3 linked regions of the Canis lupus familiaris genome follow. The protein of the gene in region 2 binds, or shares a complex with, the protein of the main gene of each other region. Links are inferred from orthologs where the notes say so. Each region holds a gene or a part of one and is shown on either strand. Other genes may lie near its edges.

Evidence for each region. Proteins that work in one complex are often made in the same cells at the same time.
Region 1: BUD13 (region 2) and small nuclear ribonucleoprotein E-like share a complex: the UniProt entries of both Homo sapiens proteins name them as parts of the minor spliceosome. The link is inferred for Canis lupus familiaris from reciprocal best matches to the Homo sapiens genes BUD13 and SNRPE.
Region 3: BUD13 (region 2) and RBMX2 share a complex: the UniProt entries of both Homo sapiens proteins name them as parts of the activated spliceosome. The link is inferred for Canis lupus familiaris from reciprocal best matches to the Homo sapiens genes BUD13 and RBMX2.

Annotation. Positions count from the first base shown.
Region 1 is NC_049222.1:93,812,995-93,815,536, reverse strand, and holds small nuclear ribonucleoprotein E-like, read right to left. Parts: upstream 1,093-2,542; 5' UTR 1,074-1,092; coding exon 795-1,073; 3' UTR 633-794; downstream 1-632. UniProt on the Homo sapiens protein: Plays a role in pre-mRNA splicing as a core component of the spliceosomal U1, U2, U4 and U5 small nuclear ribonucleoproteins (snRNPs), the building blocks of the spliceosome.
Region 2 is NC_049226.1:16,817,267-16,821,454, reverse strand, and holds the start of BUD13 (BUD13 homolog), read right to left. Parts: upstream 2,910-4,188; 5' UTR 2,867-2,909; coding exon 2,724-2,866; intron 430-2,723; coding exon 336-429; intron 1-335. UniProt on the Homo sapiens protein: Involved in pre-mRNA splicing as component of the activated spliceosome. As a component of the minor spliceosome, involved in the splicing of U12-type introns in pre-mRNAs.
Region 3 is NC_049260.1:102,430,589-102,434,869, forward strand, and holds the start of RBMX2 (RNA-binding motif protein, X-linked 2), read left to right. Parts: upstream 1-1,349; 5' UTR 1,350-1,478; coding exon 1,479-1,483; intron 1,484-1,678; coding exon 1,679-1,794; intron 1,795-3,054; coding exon 3,055-3,106; intron 3,107-4,281. UniProt on the Homo sapiens protein: Involved in pre-mRNA splicing as component of the activated spliceosome. As a component of the minor spliceosome, involved in the splicing of U12-type introns in pre-mRNAs.

The sequences.
Region 1 (2,542 bases), on a different chromosome or scaffold from region 2:
TCTATTAATTAATATGTAATGTATTATTGGTTTCAGAGGTAGAGGTCCATGATGCATCAGCACAATGGACTATTATCCATAAAAAAGAATGAGATCTTGCCATTTGCAATAACGTGGATGGCCCTAGAGGGTATTATGCTGAACGAAACAACTCAGACAGAAAAAGACAAATACTATATGATTTCACTTATGTGTGGAACTAAAAAAACAAAATGAAGGAACAAACAAAACAGAAACAGACTCATAGATACAGAGAACAAACTGGTGGTTGTCAAAGGGGGTTTAGGGGGATGGGCAAAATGGGTAAAAGGGAGTAAGAAGTACAGACTTCTTGTTATGGAATGAATAAGTCAAGGGAATGAAAAGTACAGGGTAGGGAATACAATCAATGATATTGTAATTGGGTTGTGTGGTGGCAGATGGTAGTTACACTTTCGGTAAGTATAGCATAATATGTAGACTTGTCAAATACTATGTTGTACACCTAAAACTACTATAACATTGTGTATCAACTTCAATTAAAACACACACACATGCACGCATGCACGTACACACACACACACACACACACACACACAGATTGTTGGGCCTCATCCCCAGAGTTTCTTTTTTTTTCTTTTTTTTTTTTTTTTAATAAAAACAATCCCACAGCATTTATTGTCCTCTGGTAAGAACATAAAGGTAATCAAAACAATATGAACAAGGGTTTTAGAACTATATTCCCAACAAAGGACATCTAAAAAAACAAACTACGTGGCCTTCTCAAGAATTTCTCACTTCACTGATCATTCATTCTAGTTGGAGACACTTTGGAGCAGGGTAATATTATCTCCTTTTAGCATGATCCGACCCAGTTGTTTTCTTGACTTTGTTTTAGAATGAATCTCTTTGGCATCGTCTAATACAAGGCTCATGTACTCATCAAAACCAATGATACAGCCCTCTATCCGCATGTTTATTTGCTCATAAAGCCACACCTGAATCCGAGATCTATTTTGCAAGTATCTGAAGATGAGGTTGATGGGCTGAACCATCACCTTCTGCACTTTCTGGCCCTGGCCACGGTACGCCATGGTGGAAGCGGACCCCAGAGTTTCTTTAATACATCTGCAACAAGGCCTAAGAATTTACATTTCTTTTTTTTTTTTAGGATTTATTTATTTATTTGTTTATTTGTTTATTTATTTATTTGAGAGAGAGAGAACACATGAGTGGGAGGGAGAGGGAGAAAGAATCTAAAGCAGACTCCCCACTGAGCATGGAGCCCCAACACAGGGCTTACTTAATTTCATGATTGCAAGAACATGACCTGAACCAAAACCAAGAATCAGATGCTCAACTGACTGAGCCACCCAGGTGCCCCAGAATTTATATTTCTAACAACTTCTGAGGTGGTGTCAATGCTTCTGGCTTAAGGATCACTCTTTGAGAAACTTAAGAAACAAACAAAAATGTATGGGATGCCTTCCTGTGTACCTACATACACCTGATTGGAGCTGCAGAATAAGAGAAGAAAGAGAAAGGGGCAGAAAGAATATTTGAAAACATAGTGAGCAGATCTTTCCAAATTTGATGAAATACATAAATCTACACATCCAAGTTATTATAGTCCCTATGTAGAATTGGCTCCTGCAGATGAGAACTCTGTCCTGGCTGACACCTTCATTACAATCTTGTGTGGCCCTGTAGCATAGCACCAAGCTTGGCCATCCCTAAATGCCTGCCCACAGAAACCGTGAGATAATGAGTATGTGTTCAAGCCACTAAGTGTATGGTTATTTGTTACCCAGCTACAGAAAATTAATACACTAGTCTGTCTGGCTCCTGCAGTCTATGCTCCTTGTCCCTTTCCTGATTAGTTAAACATATCATGAAAGGCAGTAACTGAGGAGTTGGTAGAGATTATAGACTTTCAGAGTTCCAAGAAACTCACAGGGCACTAGTCCAGCACCTCTAAGACATGCAGATCCCCTTCCTCAAGGGAACATCTAAGAAAATAGGGATATTGGGGATCCCTGGGTGGCTCAGCAGTTTAGCACCTGCCTTCGGCCCAGGGTGTGATCCTGGAGACCTGGGATCGAGTCCCTCATCAGGCTCCCTGCATGGAGCCTGCTTCTCCCTCAGCCTGTGTCTCTGCCTCTCTCTTCCTGTGTCTCTCATGAATAAATGAATGGAATCTTTTTTTTAATTAATTAATTAATTTATTTATTTATTTATTGGAATCTTTTTTAAAAAAAGAAGAAGATTGGGATATTGAACTATAAGATGGTGATCTGAGTCCCAATAACATTGAGATGATGACTAGGGATAACTACAAGTAGTGCTTTTAAATATTTTTTATGGCTGAGTGAAGTAAGTTAGTCGGAGAAGGACAAACATTATATGTTCTCATTCATGTGGGGAATATAAATAATAGTGAAAGGGAATATAAGGGAAGGGAGAAGAAATGTGTGGGAAATATCAGAAAGGGAGACAGAACATAAAGACTGCTAACTCTGGGAAACGAACTAGGGGTGGTAGAAGGGGAGGAGGGCAGGGGGGT
Region 2 (4,188 bases):
TCTTGGAGGGCTCACAAGTTGAACTGGACATATGCCTTCTGCTCAGATCATGATCCTGGGGTCCTGAGATCAAGTTCTGTATCAGGCTCCTGAGTCCATCAGGCTCCTCAGAGAGAGCCTGCTTCTCTCTCTGCCTATCTCTCTGCCTCTCTCTCTGTGTCTCTCATGAATAAATAAAATCTTTTTTAAAAATTAATTAATTAAATAAAACAGCTCTTTGAAAAGTGTCACCTCTTTTGGGCCCTAACATTCCCCCTTATAAATCCACCCTGTACTAAGAATCAAGATTGAGAGTCTTGCATTTCAAAGTCCTCACAACCTCAAAAGATACACACCACAGGCAAATCTCCATCATCATCTTCTTCCTCTTTTTCTGGTTTAGTGGTAGAGATAGATGTCCAGCTCACATCATCATCCACAATCCGCATTCTAAATATGAAAAATAAAAAGATCAAAAAGGGAAGAATCATTCTTGGGTGACAGCCCACAAACAGTTATCTATGGATTTAGTATAAGCTACAAGACTCTGCAAGGTCCAGTCTTTGCCTATACGGCCAACTTCACCTGTACCACTGCCTCCACAGTTCCCTACCTTGCTAATCATCTTTTGGTGCCTGGAATGAGCCAATACCTTACCACATCAGTTTTCACATATTCAGTTCCTTCCTTCGGCCTGGCCTACTCTTCTTTCTTTAATGGGAAACTCTTAAGAGTCCTAGGATACATTTAACTTCCTTGAGCTTCTCCCCTTACTTCCCATGACTAAGAACCTCTGTTATGCATCCTTGGAATACTTTCATTGCATTAATCACAAAGAAAATAAATCAGTTAGTTGTGTAATTAGCTGTTTAAAGCCAGGATCCCTGTTAAACTATAAGGCCCACTAGAATAGGGACTATGCCTTCTCATTCACTGTGATATCCTGAACACCCTGAAGTAACTGGCATAAGAAGTAGGTGTTCAATACATGTTTGTTACACAGATAAACTATGCATGAGTCCAAGTAATTAACAATGACTACCATGATGTGAACAATTCTATCTGAACAGCCAGTTATCACTTTATACCTCTCTAATCACAACCATAGAGCGATAGTATTACTCTCCTTTTAAAGAGGCAGTAACCGGGACACCTGGGTGGCTTAGTGGTTGAGTGTCTCCCTTCCGCCCAGGCCATGATTCTGGAGTGCTGGGATCGAGTCCCACATCAGGCTCCCTGCATGGAGCCTGCTTCTCTCTGCTTCTTTCTCTACCTCTCTGTGTCTCTCATGAATAAATAAATAAAATCTTAAAAAAAAAAAAAAAATAGGGACGCCTGGGTGGCTCAGCGGTTGAGCATCTGCCTTCAGCTTAGGGCCTGATTCCAGGGTCCAGGGATCAAGTCCCACGTCAGGCTCCCTGCATGGAGCCTGCTTCTCCCTCTGCCTGGGTTTCTGCCTCTCTCTGTGTCTCTTGTGAATAAATAAATAAATAATCAATCTTTTAAAAAATAAAGAAAGGAAGCTGCGGTAACAGTCTTGGAGAGACAGTATGTTGCCCAAGGCCGTAGAGCCCACAACGTGGCACAGCCAGGACTCAAACTCTGACTGGTATTACTCCAGAGGTCAAGCAAGCTATTTTCTCTACATGGCACTGTCTGTGTCCAAACAATCGACACAAGTCGGAAGGCAGGAAGACAGAGGGCAAGAACAGGCAAGAAGCAACCCACGAAAGGAAGTGGATTTGGGGGATCCCTGGGTGGCGCAGCGGTTTGGCGCCCGCCTTTGGCCCAGGGCGCGATCCTGGAGACCTGGGATCGAATCCCACGTTGGGCTCCCGGTGTATGGAGCCTGCTTCTCCCTCTGCCTGTGTCTCTGCCTCTCTCTCTCTCTCTCTCTCTGTGTGTGACTATCATAAATAAATAAAAATTAAAAAAAAAAAAAAAAAAAGGAAGTGGATTTGGTCTCTGGAGCTGGGCGTATTGGTTCCCCAGGGCTGCCTGACAAAGTGCCGCCAACCAGGCGGCTTAAGGCAACAGAACTGTACTCTCTCAGGGTCCTGGGGGCTTGAAGTCTGAAATCAAGGTGTCTGCAAGGCAGTGCCCACTGGGAAGGCTGGGGGCGGGGGGATTCCTTGGCTGTTCCAACTGCTGGCAGCGGCAGGCGTACTCGCATACTCTGGCTACTAGTGGCAGCGTAAACCCAGCCCAAGGCCGGCCTCCATCTTCACACGGCGGGCTTTCCCCATCTCTGCGTCCAAATCCCCCCCTTCCTAAGGGGTCCCCGGGCACGCTGGATTTGGCGCCCGTCCTGATGTGCTGTGACCGCATCTTGATTAGCTACACCCGCGGCGGCACTACTTCCGAAGGAAGTCACGTCCTGGGGTCCTGCGCGGACCCGCCGGGAGAGCGGCACGGCGGCCCCGCTCCGCCGCGGAATCCTGGAGCCTCGGTCGGCGCCCGCCCGCGCAGGACTCGGCCCCAGGTGCGCGCGGCGCCCGACTCCGCCGAGCCCCCGGCCGTGCCATCACAGGCTCCGGGCGACCCCGCCGTTCCTCTCGGCGCGACACTCACTCTCCACGGGAGAGGCCGGAAAGCCACCGGGGCGGGAACAGCCTGAGAAAGTTACCGGCGGCCGGAGGCGGCGAGCGCACGGCCGCGGGGCGCGCCGGCCGAGCGCGGAGCCGGGGAGCAGAGGGGCGGCCGGCCGCCGCAGGCCCCGCCCCGCCCCGCCAGCACCCACTCACCCCCTGCCGCCGGCCCCGCCAGGCTTCGGCCGCTTTTTGCGACGCTTGCGACCGGAGTCCGGGCCCCCGTCGACGCCGGCACCTGCCCCAGACAAGTAACGCTTCAGATACTCGGCCTTGGAGAGCGGCGGAGCTGCCGCCATGGCAGCGGCGGGGGCGGGGAGACGGCTCGGCGCTGGGGACAAATTTCCTGAACGCGAAGCGCACGGCGGGGGGCCCCCGGGGGGGCGGGGCCGGGGCCGGAAGTGGTGGAGAGCTGTGGGACCCGCCCCGGGCTGACCCCCGGCTGCGCTTGCTGGCTCTCCGCAGGTGCGCGCGCCTCCGATTGCACCTCCACCTCCCCCTCCCCCTGCCCCTGCCCCTGCCGGCCCGACCGGCAGGGGTTTGTCCACCTGTCTGCCCCTTCAACCTACGATGCAGCTGGCGGGAGGCTAAAACCACGACCCAAACAAGATCTCTGTCCCCAGCAGCTCCAGAAGCACCATAGCGTCGTCAAGACCTCGGGCTCTGGAGGGACGGTGTCCCTAAGCTGGAGTTCGGGCTCCGAAACTTCCAACTGTAGGTCCGGGGGCAACTTAATTAACGAACTGGGGAGTATAATGGCACCTAACTAAATGGCTTCGAGAAATGAGACACTTTTACTGCGTGAGATGCTTAGCACAGTGTCTGAAGCACAGTATGTATGTTGTTTGTATTAGTATGTTAGGTGGAGGTTAGACTGCTCTAAATAGTCTTCCACGAACCATTCAAGAGAGGTCAGGAATTCCAAACGTGATTACCATGAAAAAATATGGAGGTTTCTCTAACCTGTGACCTTCCCCACTTTTGATAGAATACGTAGCCCCCAACTATCTGTTGCCTGCAATCTTTCCTGTGAAAAGGACCTGGCTCTATTTTCAGCCAGATAGAGAAGCTGAATTCTAATTATCAAGTTGGGAGGGGCCGGGGGGAGGGGACATACTCCTTTTCTTCTTGTGAACATTATTTTACATAAATTACCTCATTTAACAAATCTCTCAAGTGGTTTTATTATGCTTGTTTCACAGATGAGAAAAACCAAAGCTTGGAGAGGTTAAGGAAGTTGTCCAACTTTATACAGCCAAAATGTGACCCTTGGGAGCAGAAGCTAGCCAAGTGAGGTACAAGAGGTAAATCCAAAGTTTGTGAAAATGTTAGATCAAGTATTTCCCTTATCTCAACATGTTAAATTTTTGTCACTGTTTGAAAGCCTATTAGTCAAGAAGGCTTGCTTGTTATACTTTATAAATGCTCTGCTCAGAATCCAGGATACATGCTCAAAAAAAAAATTATATATAATATAGGTGTGGAAGTCCCAGCCCTGATGGATGAACTTTTAACCACAGTGTTGTCCTGACTGGTCCAGCTGAGGCCCAGGAAGGAAAGCAGACTGGGTCTCTGAGGGCTTGTGGGGATACCAGATTGATAGAGGGCTTCACTGGCTGGA
Region 3 (4,281 bases), on a different chromosome or scaffold from region 2:
AATCCAGCCAGATAATGTTGCATGCTAGTTTACCACTTTGCAGTGGCTACTTCAACCCTACATCTAAGCAACCTCAGATTCCCAGGAGCAGATAAAACCTGTATGCAATCTGTCACTGTTTAGTTTTCATTGCCAAGATAATTCCATAAAGTTAATGAATAGCTGAGCTGGATGGGGTGGGGGCACAAACACAGAATGAATGAAGGGAAACTTTGATTGGTGGAGAGTCTCCTGCTTTTGTCAGGATGTGGGTACATGATGGGTCATTGAGGGTACAGTTGTCATAATCCCATCATCAAAGTACTTTTATGAAATGCTTAATTTCTGGGGCTCTAAGCTGGGCCTACACAGAGAACTACCCAGCTCTGGAACTTCACTTTTAGACCAGGCATGGTCTGATACCAGTTATTGACATGGACACATATGAGATGGATTCAAAACTTCAATATGGCTTATATCACACTGAAGGTATGCCACCATACCTTCTATGGGTTCCTCATTATTTCTGGAGTGAAATCTACCAAGCAAATATATTTTGTCTCCTTAATGATATCATTAGCTCCAGAGGGCAGAGGACTTCACCTTACATTCCTGTCTACAGATTTTACTGTACAAGACAAATATAGATCCTCAGTAAGGACTGAGTAAGTCAACAAGACCTGATAGGTAGAGGCAGAGGACATCCTTTGAGTTAACTAATTCCTTCGAATCTCAGTTTCTTCCTCGGTACAAGGAAGGTAATTGTATGTATAGACTCCATGGGGTTAGTTATGAGGAGGGAGGGCCAGTACAAGTGAATTGCTTAGCACACAACGTAGCATATGCTTAACTATTAGCTTTCTCATTATTTATTTCTGCCTCCTGCTTAAGTAGGAGCGAGACTATGGGAAAAGGGTGAGCTCTTAGACAAATCTGGGTATTCGATCAGACTGGTTAGTTGCCTATGCATTTGGATTTAAGGGAGAAAAAAATGATTTCCCCTCTCACATACCTTCTTCACTTTTCTGCTGCAATTTCTGATCAGGGATGGTTTGAGGGGTGTGTGTGCGTGAGCGACTGGCTGGGAGTGGAAGCCCGAAAGGGGATTTTCACTGAGGATAGAGCCAGGGACTACAGTTGCTAGAGCAGCACCTTTTTCAATCTCAATTCAGTAAACATTTATAGCTAGCCCAATCAATGCCAGGCGTCCTCCAGCAGCTGAGGGTCCTGTAATAAACCCGCTTCACACCCATGCCGCGTTTCACAGACGGACTAAGCGAGAAGCTAGATAGAGTCCCTGATAGAGCGAAACACGCAGAGCGAGCCAAGGGCCTCTCCGCGCTACTACGCAAGCGCAGCTCCCCAGCGCGCCCGTCTTTCCGGCGTGGCGCAGCGCGAACTCCGCGGAGTCCAATGGGCGCACGGCATCGGCGCTGCGCACGCGCGACACAGACTCACCCGGAAGTTAACGTCTCCGTGCTGAGCGCGAACCTGAGGAGATGAAGTAAGGCCTCAGTTTACCTCTTAAGAAGTAGGGACCGGCCGCGGGAAGTTGCCCACCGGGGCTGGGGTGGTAGAGAGCCTGCGGGGCCGAGGGGTGGGAGAGGCGCGGAGACTGGAGAACTAGCCCTCTAGTTCTGCTCTCCCTTACCTCTGGCCAGGCCGCACTTAACGGCCGCTTTTCCGCCTCTCTCTGCAGCCCTTTAACTAAAGTGAAGCTGATCAACGAGCTGAATGAGCGTGAGGTCCAGCTTGGGGTGGCAGATAAGGTGTCCTGGCACTCTGAGTACAAGGACAGCGCCTGGATCTTCCTGGGTGAGAGTCACATCTTTCTGCACTGCTCATTCTCTCCTGGTGCGCTTCCTAACCTTTCAGCATTCCCGCCTTTCCTTCCTTCTGACGTTCATCACGCACTTAGATTTCTTTCTTCTGGCTGCCCCGTAAATCCGTTTTCTGTATCTCTTTTCTCTTCCATTTCTAGTTTGCTCCTCCTGCCAAGTCAGTGACCATAATAGTTACCTTTGCCGTTCACTGTGGTCCTTGCCACTTGGTTTCAGAGACTGTTATCATACCGCGCCCCCCTGTTACATAGCTGAGGAGGTTAATGGACTTCCTTAAAGTCACATGGGTAATAAGTGGAACAACCAGAACTATGGGATTCTAGAACTGATGATCTTAACCACCATCTTGTATTACTGCTAGCGCCCCCCCCCCCGCCCTTTCTCCTTCCCTCAGAATTCATTTTCCTCATTTACTTAACTTCTGCCTTCTGTCCGTGGCCATATTGTCATCTCTGTATTCACTTGTGTCGCATCCAATAATATGAAAGTTTGGGCAAAGAAGTTATTGCACCAGATATTGTGCTAAGCACTTTATGTCCATTGTTTTATTTAATTCTTACAACAGTTCTGTGAAATAAGTACTAATATCCCCATTTTACAGATGAGGAACGAAAGATTTGCAGGGGAATTTATTTCCTATGAAATGCTGAACAGTTGTCTATAGACAACCAAAGATTCCTTAGTCTATGTGAGGTGGGGTAATATTTTCATATTTAAACTGATTTTGCTGTAATCTTAGCTGTGAGTTTGTGAGTTCCGGGCACCTGGGTGGATCAGTGGTTGAGCGTCTGCCTTTGGCTCAGGTTGTGATTTTGGAGTCCTGGTATTGAGTCCTGCATCAGGCTCCCATTTCTCCCTCAGCCTATGTCTCTGCCTCGCTTTCTGTGTCTCTCATGAATAAATAAATAAAATCTTAAAAAAAAGAGCAGGTGAGTTCAAGATATGTTTGTGGAAACAGAGTTTTATGCTGCAAACTGTCTGCTTTGCAAGGTTTTGGGTGTGGGGAGTATTTGGTTAGTGATGACACTGACCTTTCCACAAAGTTAATCACTCCTTTTGCTGCACTAGTGCCGCACCTTATATATGATTCTGTTAAATCGTCAGACTGTGAGTTCTTTGAGGGCAGGCCCTGTGGCTTACTCTTCTTTGCACCCACATTGCTGGGCCTAGTGCATGGTATGGAGGAGATGCTTGGTAAATGTTTGTGGAACTGAAATGTGGTTTTCTCTCCTAGGAGGGCTTCCTTATGAACTGACTGAAGGGGACATTATCTGTGTGTTCTCACAGTAAGTCCTTTTTCATTTCCTGCCTTCTGGGTCATCAAATTATGCTTGCTTAATACATTTTGTGGCCTCACAAAGTCTATTTGTTTTATTCTAGTCTGACTGGGCTCCCTGCATGGGGAGGGCTGGAGCTTCTGCTCTAGTCTAGATCAGCCCCAGGACATGGTTATAGAGCTCCCAATATGGAAAATCCAAGAAGTTAGATGATTTAGGAGGCTGTCTTGGGGATTCTGGTCTATTTTTATTGCTTTTTAAGTGAGGCTTGTTCAGCCTGTGCCTACACCAGAATAGACTTACTCACAGGAAACTACCATGTTGGACTCCTTGGGCTCCTGCAAACCCAAGGGTAATCCATGATCACAGGGCCCTTCTGGCCTACACCTGTGTGGTGTTGTGGGATTAGGGCAAAGCACAGAGGAATGGGAGAAAAAGCAAAAAGTTTAGGCAGTTTTCTTGTTTCTAGATGGGTATAAGATTAGTAAGCAGAACCGGTCTCTTTACCCAGAAGCTGAGAATTATGGGCTGATGAGGAACAAGGATGAATAGGTGAACCTTATATTCTTCATTCTGCCCATAGATGAAAGCAGCAGCATTGGGTGGGAGAGCATCTTGCACTGGTGGTGGCGGCTGGTGGGAGAGGGGCTGGGCACAACCCAGAGCTACACAGAGTGGTTAGACAGTCCATGGGGCCTTAGGGACCCTGAGGGCAGAGGACTGTGGCAGAAGGATTTGGGGAAGTAAACACTGCCAGCACACTGTGGCGGAGACATTGCCATGTCAGGGGATGGTGGGGCCGTCCAATAGGAAGAGGACCGTGGCTGAGTGGTGGAGCAGCTTATGGAGGAGAGGGCCATGGAAAAGAAATTGGGCAGTACCCATGAGAGGGCCATGAGAGAGGGCTTCGGCAGCCCACTCTGGCTTAGCGCCCAAGAGAGACAGAGGCTGCTTTCTCTGACTTCTGGGCAGCTGGAAGTTTACAGCAGGTGCAGCCTGTAGTTTCCACCCCTTATGATACCTCTGTCTGGTCCAGCCTTCATAGGGGCTGTTTTTGTCTTATTTGCGTTGAGTGATGATCAGCTAGTGTGTTTGCTTATTCTAATTCTCTATTCTGGCTGTACACCTTGCTCTCCATGAAGATTGTCTTTGCCATTGGTAACAGTGGTTTTCAAGAAATGTTT